Daphnia pulex: one gene and its partners. The protein of the gene in region 1 binds, or shares a complex with, the protein of each later gene. Links are inferred from orthologs where the notes say so. Each region holds a gene or a part of one and is shown in the gene's direction. Other genes may lie near its edges.

Region 1 (3,212 bases):
GACTATTTTTCTTCTATTTTTCATTTTTTTTTTTTGTGTACATGCGGAATTTTTTGGCGTTAAACTCCACTTTGCGTTGCTGTGGCGATGACGTTGCCCGTCTTTTTTGTTCTTCTTGTTGGTCATCCTTTTTCCGGCCGCTCCTGCCCGGTCCCTCCAAAATACTGACTGCGGTACTGTGTACAGTGCCAGTACTCCATATGCTCATGTTTGTGCTCCCTCCATTACTCGCCGACCTTTTCAACTTTTTTCAGTATTTGCCTCAACACACTCCTCAACCGCCCCATAACATTCCTCAACAAAATCTATACTCCCTACAACAACAACCACAACAAACACGATTTGTCCTACAACCACCACGTCTCATTCTACGGGAGCCACAACTAAGGGAGCAACAACAACTAAGGGAGCAACAACAACGGGACTCTCAACAACAACGGGACTCTCAACAACAACGGGAGCCACAAATTGATCCGCGTCGTCAGTTCGAGCGTCAAAATGATGAAGATAATAGATGAGAACAACTAAGAGAAGAACATCAACGTCGCCAGCGAGAAAGCAAACTGGACATACAACACCGTAGGCGCAATTACGAATAATTTTACTTCAAATTGAAATAAAACACAGAAATTGTACTACTGCATTGCTACTAAACAAATAAAATTTTTCAACTCCTCAACTTTCACTTAATCAATACAGTAGACTAAGGGCTCATTCAGTTGTACGATAAGAAGGATAAACGATAAGTCTTCACTCACTATTGTTATCTTAGCATCAGCTGGTTGTTGGAAATTGACGTAGGCATAGCCAAGTGATCATGTCTCTGCATACTCCATGCTGTGACCACATGATACCAATTGGTCTTCCCCGAAGGACATGAAAGTTCATAATGTCTAGGGCTCATTCAGTTGTGCAATAAGAAGGATTAACGAAATCGAATTAGTTTGACGAAATTCTCATGGTAAGTTTTTCCATTTACAGTTTCGGCTTTGGTAATATCTGGCATTGAAATTACCATTTTCGACTTGCCACGATTCGGCGTGTGCTGATCACGTGCAAACCTTCGGCAAACTGTTTCAGTGTGTGCTGATTCACGTGCAGAAGTTTGCTCGCCATCTAGCGCTCGATCTGTAAGTTCAGAAAAACAAAACAGTTTGCAGAGCATAGTAAAAAACTTGTTTGGGACAGTCGCTATAGACGGAGTCTCTGTTTGGTATTTTTTACATGTAATATTATTTAGATTTGAGTGTAAAGTTCATTTAAGATGCGTATTATAAATTTATAATTTAAACTCTAATTTATTTATATTTTATTTAAATTTTATACGCATATTTGTTATCTCCACAACAGTACTTGTTGCAACGCTGTAATCAGTAAAGAAGCTGTCCAACTAACTAAACAGAAAACACGTTATTTTGATCCGTAAAAATCTTTTCTTGTATTGCAAAAGAAAAATCTAAAAGGAAACGTTTTAGCAGCACAGAACAAGAAGGTATTAAACTTACTTGGTATTTATAATGAACTTAATGAAGTACCTTATGAAAATATTTTTTAAATGCTGTTGCAAGTGGTGGCCATTGATTTCTTTCACCATTCCTTATTGAAAGTATATGCTTTGAAATATAAGTGTTGTTTGTATTTTGTAGTGCATGACGTAAGAAGCACTCGCCATACATACTTGCATAACTTGGGAAATACTAGTCCAACATGCCACCTCAAAGAAAACAGAGGAAGATTGCAATTATGGGCTACCGCTCAGTTGGTAAGTTGTTGCAGTTGAAAGATCATGTTAGATTATTTTTTATAATTTTCATTTACCTAGGAAAATCTTCACTGACCATCCAATTTGTTGAAAATCAATTTGTTGATTCTTATGACCCTACAATTGAAAACAGTATGCTCCTTGTTTGTGTTGTAAAGGAACACTGTTTAATTTTTGTTTTGTCTTGACTGAAATCCAGCCTTCACCAAACCATGGAAAGTAAGAGGGCAAGATTTTGAGCTAAAGTTGGTGGATACTGCTGGTCAAGATGAATATGCTATTTTCCCAGCTCAACATTCAATGGACATGCATGGTTATGTACTTGTATATTCCATTACTTCAGTTCAAAGCTTTGAGCTGTTACAAGTTTTGCTAGAAAAGATTATGGATATGACTGGTAAAATCACGTAAGTTTCTCTAAGGTAGCATTTCATCACTCAATAATTTTATGTCTGACAACCAGTTTCTTTTCATCACTATAGAATACCTCTTGTTATTGTTGGTAATAAAACAGACCTTCACCGTGAAAGAGTAGTCAGCACAGAAGAGGGCAAAAGGCTTGCCGACACTTGGAAAGCCTCATTTTATGAAGTTTCTGCTAGGTCACACGAGGTATGCTGATTAATATTCATTTGGAGATTTGAAATTGTACTTTCTATTAAGAATTTTTTTTTTTTTCCTTTCATCTCTAGTCTGTCTGCGAAATTTTTAACCGACTGATAACGGAAATGGAGAAAGCAGATAGCAGTAATGGAAACGAAAAGAGCAGTTGTGTTCTGTCCTGAACGGGTATGAAATGTAGAAAAATCTACCAGCGCCAATTTTTTTCCCTTCTAATATTACGCAGTTTTTCATAACGACCGTTATCTCGGTTTCTTGGATTTGTGAAGCAACGTTGAAAAGCTTTCATGGTGAGCGAAATACATTTATCATTTGTACTATGTAAGTGGTTCTTATCTTGTATAAACGATGTTCACCAAATTTAGGTTTTGAACATTAAATACGATTAACATTTTGCAGGAAAGTTGTATTTCTCGATTTTGAATATCTAAAATGACATGGGGGAAAAGATGAAATAACGCAACAGATCTTTTTTTCTCAGAAAAAGATACACACCGTGCTGAAAAGTGCATCGTAGTGGAACTGAACTTAAACAATGTTCAACGCATCCGTTCAAGAAGAATGGTTAATACATGTACCCCTACTTCCCTTTCATCCACCATAGACATTTCAAAGAAAAGAACGAAACAATGTTTCATTCGTGACAATTCCCCGATCCGATTTTTTCGATAATAGATACATAATTATACACCACTTTAACTTAAATCCATGTTCGAATCACTGGATCCACCTGCAGCATTTCCATGATGTCCGGAGCCATCTTTCTGGATCGAGTCGAAAAGAGTCTGAAAATGGTAAGTGTAAAAATTTTAAGTTTAGGCGAATAGTA
Region 2 (3,334 bases), on another chromosome or scaffold:
TATCACTCCAACCGAGAAAAAGGCGCGTCGAGATGTCATACGAACCCTACGATCTCATCGTCGACCTCAGCTTTCATCTTGGAATGTCGTTGAGACCACATCCCCCGCTCGCTCCTGTAACTTACGGAAACAGTTGTTTGTCGATACTGATTCACTTTCTAACTCTGCAAATTTTTCATCGAGTCCATTGGCCCTGTACCTTTCTCCTGATACTGAAAAAGATACTCCCAAATTCTCTTCGCCCGATGGCCCATCACCTGCCTCATCTAGAAAATCTTCTAGGAAAAGTTCCACGTCAGAAAATAAAAAAACTAAATCGCCTGTCAATGAAAATAATGAAGAAAGTTACACTGAATTGAAGAAGTCGATCGAAGGCAACCTAATGGGATGCGAGGCAAGTCTGTCAGATGTTGAGCTAATGGATGAGATTGAGTCGAGCATCAATATGGACAATGATGTCATTTTTGTCGAATCGACATATAAAACAGATGATCATGCGGAAATTGAATTTATTATCCCGGAATCATTTCCTGTTATCTATCAGGATGCCAAACTTGATGAATCATCGAAATCATCTATTCATTCTGCCAACAAGAAAACACTAAGTCGATCATCACAGGAAGAACGTAGAAGAAGCTCACGATTAGCTGGTATACCTTTACCTCTAATATACTCAACTGAACCACTGCCAGACTGTCGAAGGTCGATCACCTCTAAAAGGACACCACTTCAGCAGCTCACTTCTTCAAAAGATAACGAAGTTCTATCCTCTTCTAAGAAGAAACTGCGGGCTGAATCTGTTGATGACCTACCGATACAGCCAATTACGAAAGAAACACCAATTGCAGAAGCAACTCCTCCTTCACAACTGGATGATCGTCGACAGACGGCGAGTTGGAAACAGGTTCGTTTGCAAATTCCACCTTGCTGGGCCGATCTTATTGAAAACCACATCAAAGAAAATCATCCGGACGAGAAGCTCTGGTACCAAGAAGAAGCATCTGCGCGCTGGCCAATTGTTTATTGCAACTGTGCCCAATCCAAGAGAGATTAGATTTCCCGCAACCGCTGGCTTAATCTTTTGTCAAATAGAGAAATCATCTATTGCAACAGAAGTGACAAGTATTTTTTTTTTTTTTTTGATAATTCCATATCAATTTTTGTGCAACAGAAGTGTCAATCTGCCACACCCCTATTTGGTTCTGTGTTCAGTTTTATTTTTTCGCGTATCCCATATTTCTTTTCGTATAAGATGAGAAACAATGGGTCCAATTATATTTTGGTTTACATTCGGTTTATTTCCAATCCAGCAATAAAACTCGTTCAATTTCTAAAACTTTCTTTCATGAGTCATGACTTTGCATTTTGGTATCGCAATACAACCATGTGGCAACGTCTAATGGAATTTCTTCTTATACTCTCGTCTATTGGTTTTTTGTTGACATCAAGAGAGTTGTTACTTGGCCGAGTACCCGGTGGCGGCTCTATATATATAATACGACTTTGTATTGATCCAAGATACCAATCAATTATCCTTATACAGAAAGTTTTACCCCATCTGTGTGTGTGCGGTTGGTCGGCATATACACTTTTGAAAGCGAACTCGTCCGAATCGGGCCTGCAGTCCAAGTGCTGCAAAATTGTATATTGAATAAGGGATACGTTGAGGTGGTCGCCGTCGTCCTCGTGTCGACTGGCCTGCGATTGAGAAGATCTGGAATCGAACGTAATGCCTTCCAAAGCCGAAGACATACTGTCGGGATTCAGAGTGTAAGTTGGTTTTGTCTCTTGGTTGTTTTCATATTTTGGAAATTAATTTAATTTATCTCATCTTGCAGGAACTGGATGAGTCTACGAGAAGTAGACACCGGGAAACTGCTGTGGCAAAACTCTGATGATTTGTGAGTTCTACTATATATCAATTTTAAAATTAGAAAGAAATAATCTATAATATGCTTTTTGACACTTTGTTTCAGGTCCCAGCCTGATGTTGAACATGAAGCCCGAGTACCCAAAAGTATTTTGAATTGCAGAGCCGTTTCAAGGGAAATTAACTTTTCCTCAATAGAACCCCTCGAAAACTTTCGACTGGAACAGAAAGTCCTTTTCAAGGTAGGAGTTTCCCATTTTTGATTTCGTGTTATAAAAACATGTGAGAATCAGAGAAATCTGAAACTGGATGTGTTGTGTTGAACTATAGGGAAGAGCATTAGAAGAGTGGACATTTGATTTTGGATTCGTCATCCCAAACTCCACAAACACCTGGCAATCAATAATTGAGGCTGCACCAGAATCACAAATGATGCCTGCACAAATTTTAAAGTAAAACAAAATTTATGCATTCTTAAATCAATTTGATAGAGAAATTAAAGCCAAAATTATTTTTTTGTTTTGTGCAGTGGAAATGTGACTATCGAAACCAAATTCTACGATGACACCCTTCTAGTCTCAACATCAAAAGTGAGGCTGTTCTACGTCTGACCCGATCTCTGCGTTTTTTCCCATTATTTTGTCGTCTCTTCATTTCACGTTCTCCTGTTACGTCCTTATGGCGATGGAAATAAGCGAAAACCGGCATTTTGAAGCGCTTTTTTACACAGTCTACACGTCGTGTGCCATCTCCTAACGCACCGATTTCGATTCGGTGCGACATCGCTACAATTCCGCTCACACACAAAGCTACACACGCTATTTGTTCGCGATCACCTGCCATACTTCTCGGTCAATATCTCATTTGCTGCTGCCGCTGTTATTCCTGCGCTCCACATTTTACCCGTTGACTGTCGGTACTACATAATAAAAAGACGATTCAATCGGTGTATAAAACTGGGAGCTCATGTTTATCCTTCGCGATCGGGATTTCTGATTTTAGGTAGATGCACCCATGCTATCGAAACATGACGGTCCCGTTTCAATGGGTGAGTCGGCGTTGTGTTGTGCGGGTACATCAGGCAAAGTGGATGTCGTTATTGAGCGGATTATAGTGATCTACTGCGTTGCCCACGTCTTCTGCATCTGCCTCTACTTGACATGGATAGCCATCCAAAATGCAATTATATCCCTACCCCCAGCCTCTCTCTCTCTCTCCCATCTCTTTCTAGTCGATAATTAGATTTCCTCGAGCTCTCCTACTTGTCTGTGTTCCTCGAGCTATGGTTGACTAGTAAATTACATGTCCAGCGGTGTAGAGCACAGTACTCGGTCGTGGGTCAGCCAGCCCCCCCCCCCCTTTTTATGGGGCGATATTTGAATTATTAGAGTGCGGAGAGGATGTGTATTATAGTAGATGGGGTGGGGGGTATCAGGGGAAAGATGCATAAGTGTGTGTCCGTGT
Region 3 (4,016 bases), on another chromosome or scaffold:
TTATTATTTTTTACTTGTTTGAGCAAATTTCTCAAGAGCAATTAATGAAAACAGTACTACTGGTGGGTGGTTTGATGGATCCTAAAAGATATACATTGTTGAAAATAAAGTGAGACCAAAGATTGATTGTCAGACATACCAGGTTGGCTATAAGGTAATCCAATGTGCTGTCAGTTAGCAAAGCAACACTTGTAGGCCCAGCCAATTTTTCAGCAATGCAGCCCAATGCAATACAAATATTCCTGTGACGATTAGGATCTGATCTTCCCCTTTTACTAGCTTTAGCTGACAGCCAAAACATCCGGGGGACTTTAGTAATGGAATCCTGAAAAAAAAATGGTGAAAATTTAACCTAGCAACAATGTCTAACATATGATTAAAATCTTACCTTTGCTGGTAAGGCACAGTCATCTAGCACCAGAGTGATGACAGCAGGTCCAAGGGGTTCATTAATGGGTATTACATTAACCATGGAATGTAGAACAAGCAACCAACCATGCCCTTTGTTAGAAAGAGCTTGTAATCTTAACATTGAAGGAGGTGTTTCTTGATCACTAAACAAAGAAGGAATAATTAAAGTGGATACATAGGAACATATAATAAAAACATACTTTTCAACTAAATTTCCTATGACAGCTAATGTCTGCAAAACAAGACTGTCAATATGGGGTAGCATTCGCCTCAAGTGTGAGGCCTCAGATGCTGGTATAACATGAGATGGGAAACTTCTGTCTCTATCAACTGAAATATTAGATTGCAGTGGACTTGGGAGGCTGGCAGTTTCTGGTTGAGGCACTGAGAGAGAGGGTAGTTCCCCATCCTTTTCGTCACAACATAAGCATTGTCCCATTTTTAACTGCTTCAGTGGAAATTAAATTTGAACATGTTATTTGAGAGAGATCGTCACTATTCAAACGTGCAATTTGATCTCCATCTTAGTTAAGTTTATAAGTGGGTGTATATGGATTGACCAGGAATGGATTTGACGTTGTTCAACAATTAATTTCAGTAGCACTATTTAACCATGTTATAAATATGGATGGTAATCTAGTATTGAGAAATTCGATGAAAAAGGTATCGTCTGCTGCTTATAACGCGAACATAGATATCCGCTAGGGGCGCTTATAGGAGAGCCATCCTTTCACCGGACATCTAATAGTATCTAATGCCTAATGAGGAGTAACACAATTTGGAGTTTTCTTTTTCTTCCGTCAGATGTCGAAGTCCACAAGTTTGTTTATTAAAATAAGTCATACTGATACTGTAAAGTCTAATTAGTAATTACACGTTGTGGAATTCGCGTATTGCATATTCTTTTTAAAATAAGGCTTATCTTTTTTTGTCGAAGACAAAGAGTTATTTGATTGAATGGAAAAATAACATATAGTGTCCAATTTCAATTTTCGCTAGCGGGGTACGAGGTGATTGGCGACAGTTGACTTTGAATGTTTTCGAACTACTCCTTTGAGTTGTTGCTGATTATGCATTGAATTTATATCAACTGCTTCCTTTATTTTATCCTTTTTATTTATTTCAGTTACAGAATGGCAACCGGAATGATGCAAACATTCATCACTGGGCTTAGATCCAGAAGTGAAGATTTGAGACTAAAGGCTGCCCGAGATTTACACCATTATGTAAGAGAAGGATAAAGAGCTAAATGTTTAAGAAGGAAATAATATAGAATTGTTTTAATGTTGTCTTAATTTGTTTAGGTGACATCTGAGTTAAGAGAGGCATTGCAGGAAGATGTAATTTCATTTGTTGATGATTTGAATCACCATATATTTGACATGGTGTCCAGCTCAGATGTCAATGAAAAGAAAGGTGGCATTCTAGCCATAGTTAGTTTATTGCAAGTAGATGTTGGAAATACCAATGCCAGAATGACTAGATTTGCCAACTATTTGAAAAACTTACTTCCATCTCAGGATGTAGTTGTAATGGAGTTAACTGCAAGGGCACTTGGAAAATTGACACTGGCAAGTTAAACAAAAATCTAAATAGCCTCTACACATAATTAAAACAGATGATAAATATAGATATGCAATTTTTAATAAAACAGGTATCAGGAAGCTACACCGCGGAGTATGTGGAATTTGAAGTAAAACGAGCCTTTGAGTGGCTCAGTGGCGAGAGAAATGAAGGTCGTAGGCATGCAGCGGTAAGTTAAAAATAACATCATTAACGATATGTTGATACCATAAGTTTTAACTCAATTTCTCACAGGTGCTGGTTTTGCGAGAATTGGCTTTATCCATGCCAACTTTCTTTTTCCAGCAAGTCCAGACTTTTTTTGACGTTATTTTTTATGCTGTTCGGGACTCCAAACCAATGATTCGAGAAGGCGCAGTTGCTGCTTTACGCTCTGCTTTAGTCGTCACATCTCAGCGAGAAACTAAAGAAGCTCAAAAGCCTACTTGGTAATAAACAAGCTTGTACAAGTTTAACACATAAAGATATAGTATTAACCATTAATTAGGTATAAACAATGCTTTGACGAGGCCCAACAAGGTTTTGAGGAACCGTTAGCCAAAGATAAAGGACTAACAAAGGACGACAGAGCTCATGGATCTCTTTTGGTTCTTCAAGAGCTTCTACGTTGTTCGAATGCAGAGGGTGAACGACTTCTCGCTGAACTAGAGCAATTAAATTTACTACATTCACAGACTGTTCAGGTTGAATATGCCGATCTTTGTATGACCTGAGCAAATGCGATAATTCTCAATGATTTTTTACCAAAGGATTCTCTAATTTCTACAACTTCCCGAGTGTTGCCGAACGGTGCTGTTGAATTAATCAACACTCCTACACTTTACAATAATCTCCGGCTTTTGCCAGGGCATGTCGCTCAATCAAGGATAGCCAGCGCCGTGTCACCACTATCGATAGTTGCGCCCCAGCAGGTGATTTATAAAATTGATCGCAATACTTCCACTTACCTGAACGAATTTTCTATACAAACAGTACCCTATAGTTGAAAGCGCTGCATGCCGCCAATTGACTGCTGATCATTTTGATGAAATTTGTGCCAACACTCTTCGACATAGCATCTCAAAAAGCAGCCATGTACAAGCAGCTTTGATGGGAATTCTGCCTAGACTGGCTGCCTATGATCGAACCCGATTTTCTGATAGGTATTAAATTTTTGGAAAATTTCTTAAAATGACAAATGACCATACATACTTAATTTCCCCAGGTATTTGGGCCCTTCGATGAGCTACTTGATGGCGTGTTTGACCCGCAAAGAAAAAAATCCTCACCTTGCAATGATAACTATAGGTTATATAGCAGTGTGTATTGAAGGGGATATTGCCACACATCTCCCTGGCATTATTAGTTTTGTTCGGACTTCTCTACCTCAAAATAAAGTAGAGAAACTAAAGAGTGTAAAGAAGAAAAATTCTTTAATTTTCGAAACTTCTCCAAACTAGGACCCATCTTCTACCAAAAAACGCTCCAGTCCCCCTGATATTGCTGTTTTCGTCTGTCTAAGTCTGCTTGGCCGAGCCGTTGGTCGTTCTCATCTAACTAGTGAGTTCAAGGATCTACTGGATCCCATGCTGTCCGTTGGACTTAGTCCTGCCCTGACAACTTGTCTTCGTGAACTGGCCTTGAGAATTCCTCATCTTAAAAAAGACATTGCCGAAGGACTCTTGCGGATGCTTTCACTAGTTTTGATGCACCAACCACTTCGTCATCCAGGCATGGTTTTATTTTAAACAACGAATTTGGAAAAGTACATTCTACTTGAATTAATTTATCCATTCTATTTTAGGAATGCCAAAACATCATATGGCGCTCACTCCAGTGGCACTTCAACCACTACCATCGAATGGGGATGACGTCAATAGCATCGTTTTAGCTCTAAGAACGTTGGGGAGTTTTGATTTTCAAGGTTAAAAAACCAATTTATTTAAAATTCAATGAACGAGAGACGCAGATTTTTCAACATAATTTTGTTTGTGTCGCTAGGTCAACCACTACTTTTACAATTTGTTCGCCATTGTGCCGAC

Evidence for each region.
Region 2: the proteins of GTP-binding protein Rheb-like (region 1) and retinal rod rhodopsin-sensitive cGMP 3',5'-cyclic phosphodiesterase subunit delta-like are in contact, whole or in part, in a crystal structure (PDB 3T5G), measured with the Homo sapiens proteins. The link is inferred for Daphnia pulex from reciprocal best matches to the Homo sapiens genes RHEB and PDE6D. Residues at the interface, in NP_005605.1 of Homo sapiens: Pro2, Gln3, Ser4, Gln57, Asp77, Gln176, Gly177, Lys178, Ser179, Ser180, Cys181; in NP_002592.1 of Homo sapiens: Ile53, Leu54, Cys56, Val59, Val80, Gln85, Cys86, Leu87, Glu88, Glu89, Trp90, Ile109, Glu110, Ala111, Ala112, Pro113, Gln116, Met117, Met118, Leu123, Tyr149.
Region 3: the proteins of GTP-binding protein Rheb-like (region 1) and serine/threonine-protein kinase mTOR-like are in contact, whole or in part, in a cryo-EM structure (PDB 6BCU), measured with the Homo sapiens proteins. The link is inferred for Daphnia pulex from reciprocal best matches to the Homo sapiens genes RHEB and MTOR. Residues at the interface, in NP_005605.1 of Homo sapiens: Lys5, Ser6, Arg7, Lys8, Arg15, Pro37, Ile39, Glu40, Thr42, Gln57, Ala62, Asp65, Tyr67, Ile69, Gln72, Thr73, Ser75, Ile76, Asp77, Asn79, Asp105, Met106, Val107, Gly108, Lys109, Val110, Ile112; in NP_001373429.1 of Homo sapiens: Arg62, His69, Glu73, Ala101, Thr102, Ile104, Gly105, Arg106, Asn109, Tyr110, Arg112, Asn113, Phe140, Glu143, Tyr144, Phe147, Glu154, Arg160, Thr969, Gln973, Phe977, Lys980, Glu1010, Phe1011, Gln1014, Met1018, Ser1050, Thr1051, Asn1264, Lys1293.

What each region holds. Positions count from the first base shown.
Region 1 is NC_060021.1:5,206,261-5,209,472, forward strand, and holds GTP-binding protein Rheb-like, read left to right. Parts: upstream 1-1,350; 5' UTR 1,351-1,492; exon of another isoform or gene 1,493-1,508; intron 1,509-1,568; 5' UTR 1,569-1,707; coding exon 1,708-1,762; intron 1,763-1,822; coding exon 1,823-1,894; intron 1,895-1,961; coding exon 1,962-2,169; intron 2,170-2,244; coding exon 2,245-2,374; intron 2,375-2,454; coding exon 2,455-2,547; 3' UTR 2,548-2,703; downstream 2,704-3,212. Other genes in the region: cullin-associated NEDD8-dissociated protein 1-like, read right to left, coding at 3,079-3,168. UniProt on the Homo sapiens protein: Small GTPase that acts as an allosteric activator of the canonical mTORC1 complex, an evolutionarily conserved central nutrient sensor that stimulates anabolic reactions and macromolecule biosynthesis to promote cellular biomass generation and growth.
Region 2 is NC_060018.1:861,826-865,159, forward strand, and holds retinal rod rhodopsin-sensitive cGMP 3',5'-cyclic phosphodiesterase subunit delta-like, read left to right. Parts: upstream 1-1,427; 5' UTR 1,428-1,729; coding exon 1,730-1,770; intron 1,771-1,838; coding exon 1,839-1,901; intron 1,902-1,976; coding exon 1,977-2,112; intron 2,113-2,200; coding exon 2,201-2,322; intron 2,323-2,399; coding exon 2,400-2,481; 3' UTR 2,482-2,826; downstream 2,827-3,334. Other genes in the region: uncharacterized protein LOC124188871, read left to right, coding at 1-1,054. UniProt on the Homo sapiens protein: Promotes the release of prenylated target proteins from cellular membranes. Modulates the activity of prenylated or palmitoylated Ras family members by regulating their subcellular location.
Region 3 is NC_060027.1:5,106,148-5,110,163, forward strand, and holds the start of serine/threonine-protein kinase mTOR-like, read left to right. Parts: upstream 1-1,208; 5' UTR 1,209-1,421; intron 1,422-1,537; 5' UTR 1,538-1,544; coding exon 1,545-1,637; intron 1,638-1,715; coding exon 1,716-1,982; intron 1,983-2,065; coding exon 2,066-2,164; intron 2,165-2,229; coding exon 2,230-2,423; intron 2,424-2,482; coding exon 2,483-2,678; intron 2,679-2,744; coding exon 2,745-2,906; intron 2,907-2,967; coding exon 2,968-3,137; intron 3,138-3,199; coding exon 3,200-3,371; intron 3,372-3,434; coding exon 3,435-3,705; intron 3,706-3,778; coding exon 3,779-3,898; intron 3,899-3,975; coding exon 3,976-4,016. Other genes in the region: RING finger and SPRY domain-containing protein 1-like, read right to left, coding at 15-81, 140-325, 389-554, 612-850. UniProt on the Homo sapiens protein: Serine/threonine protein kinase which is a central regulator of cellular metabolism, growth and survival in response to hormones, growth factors, nutrients, energy and stress signals.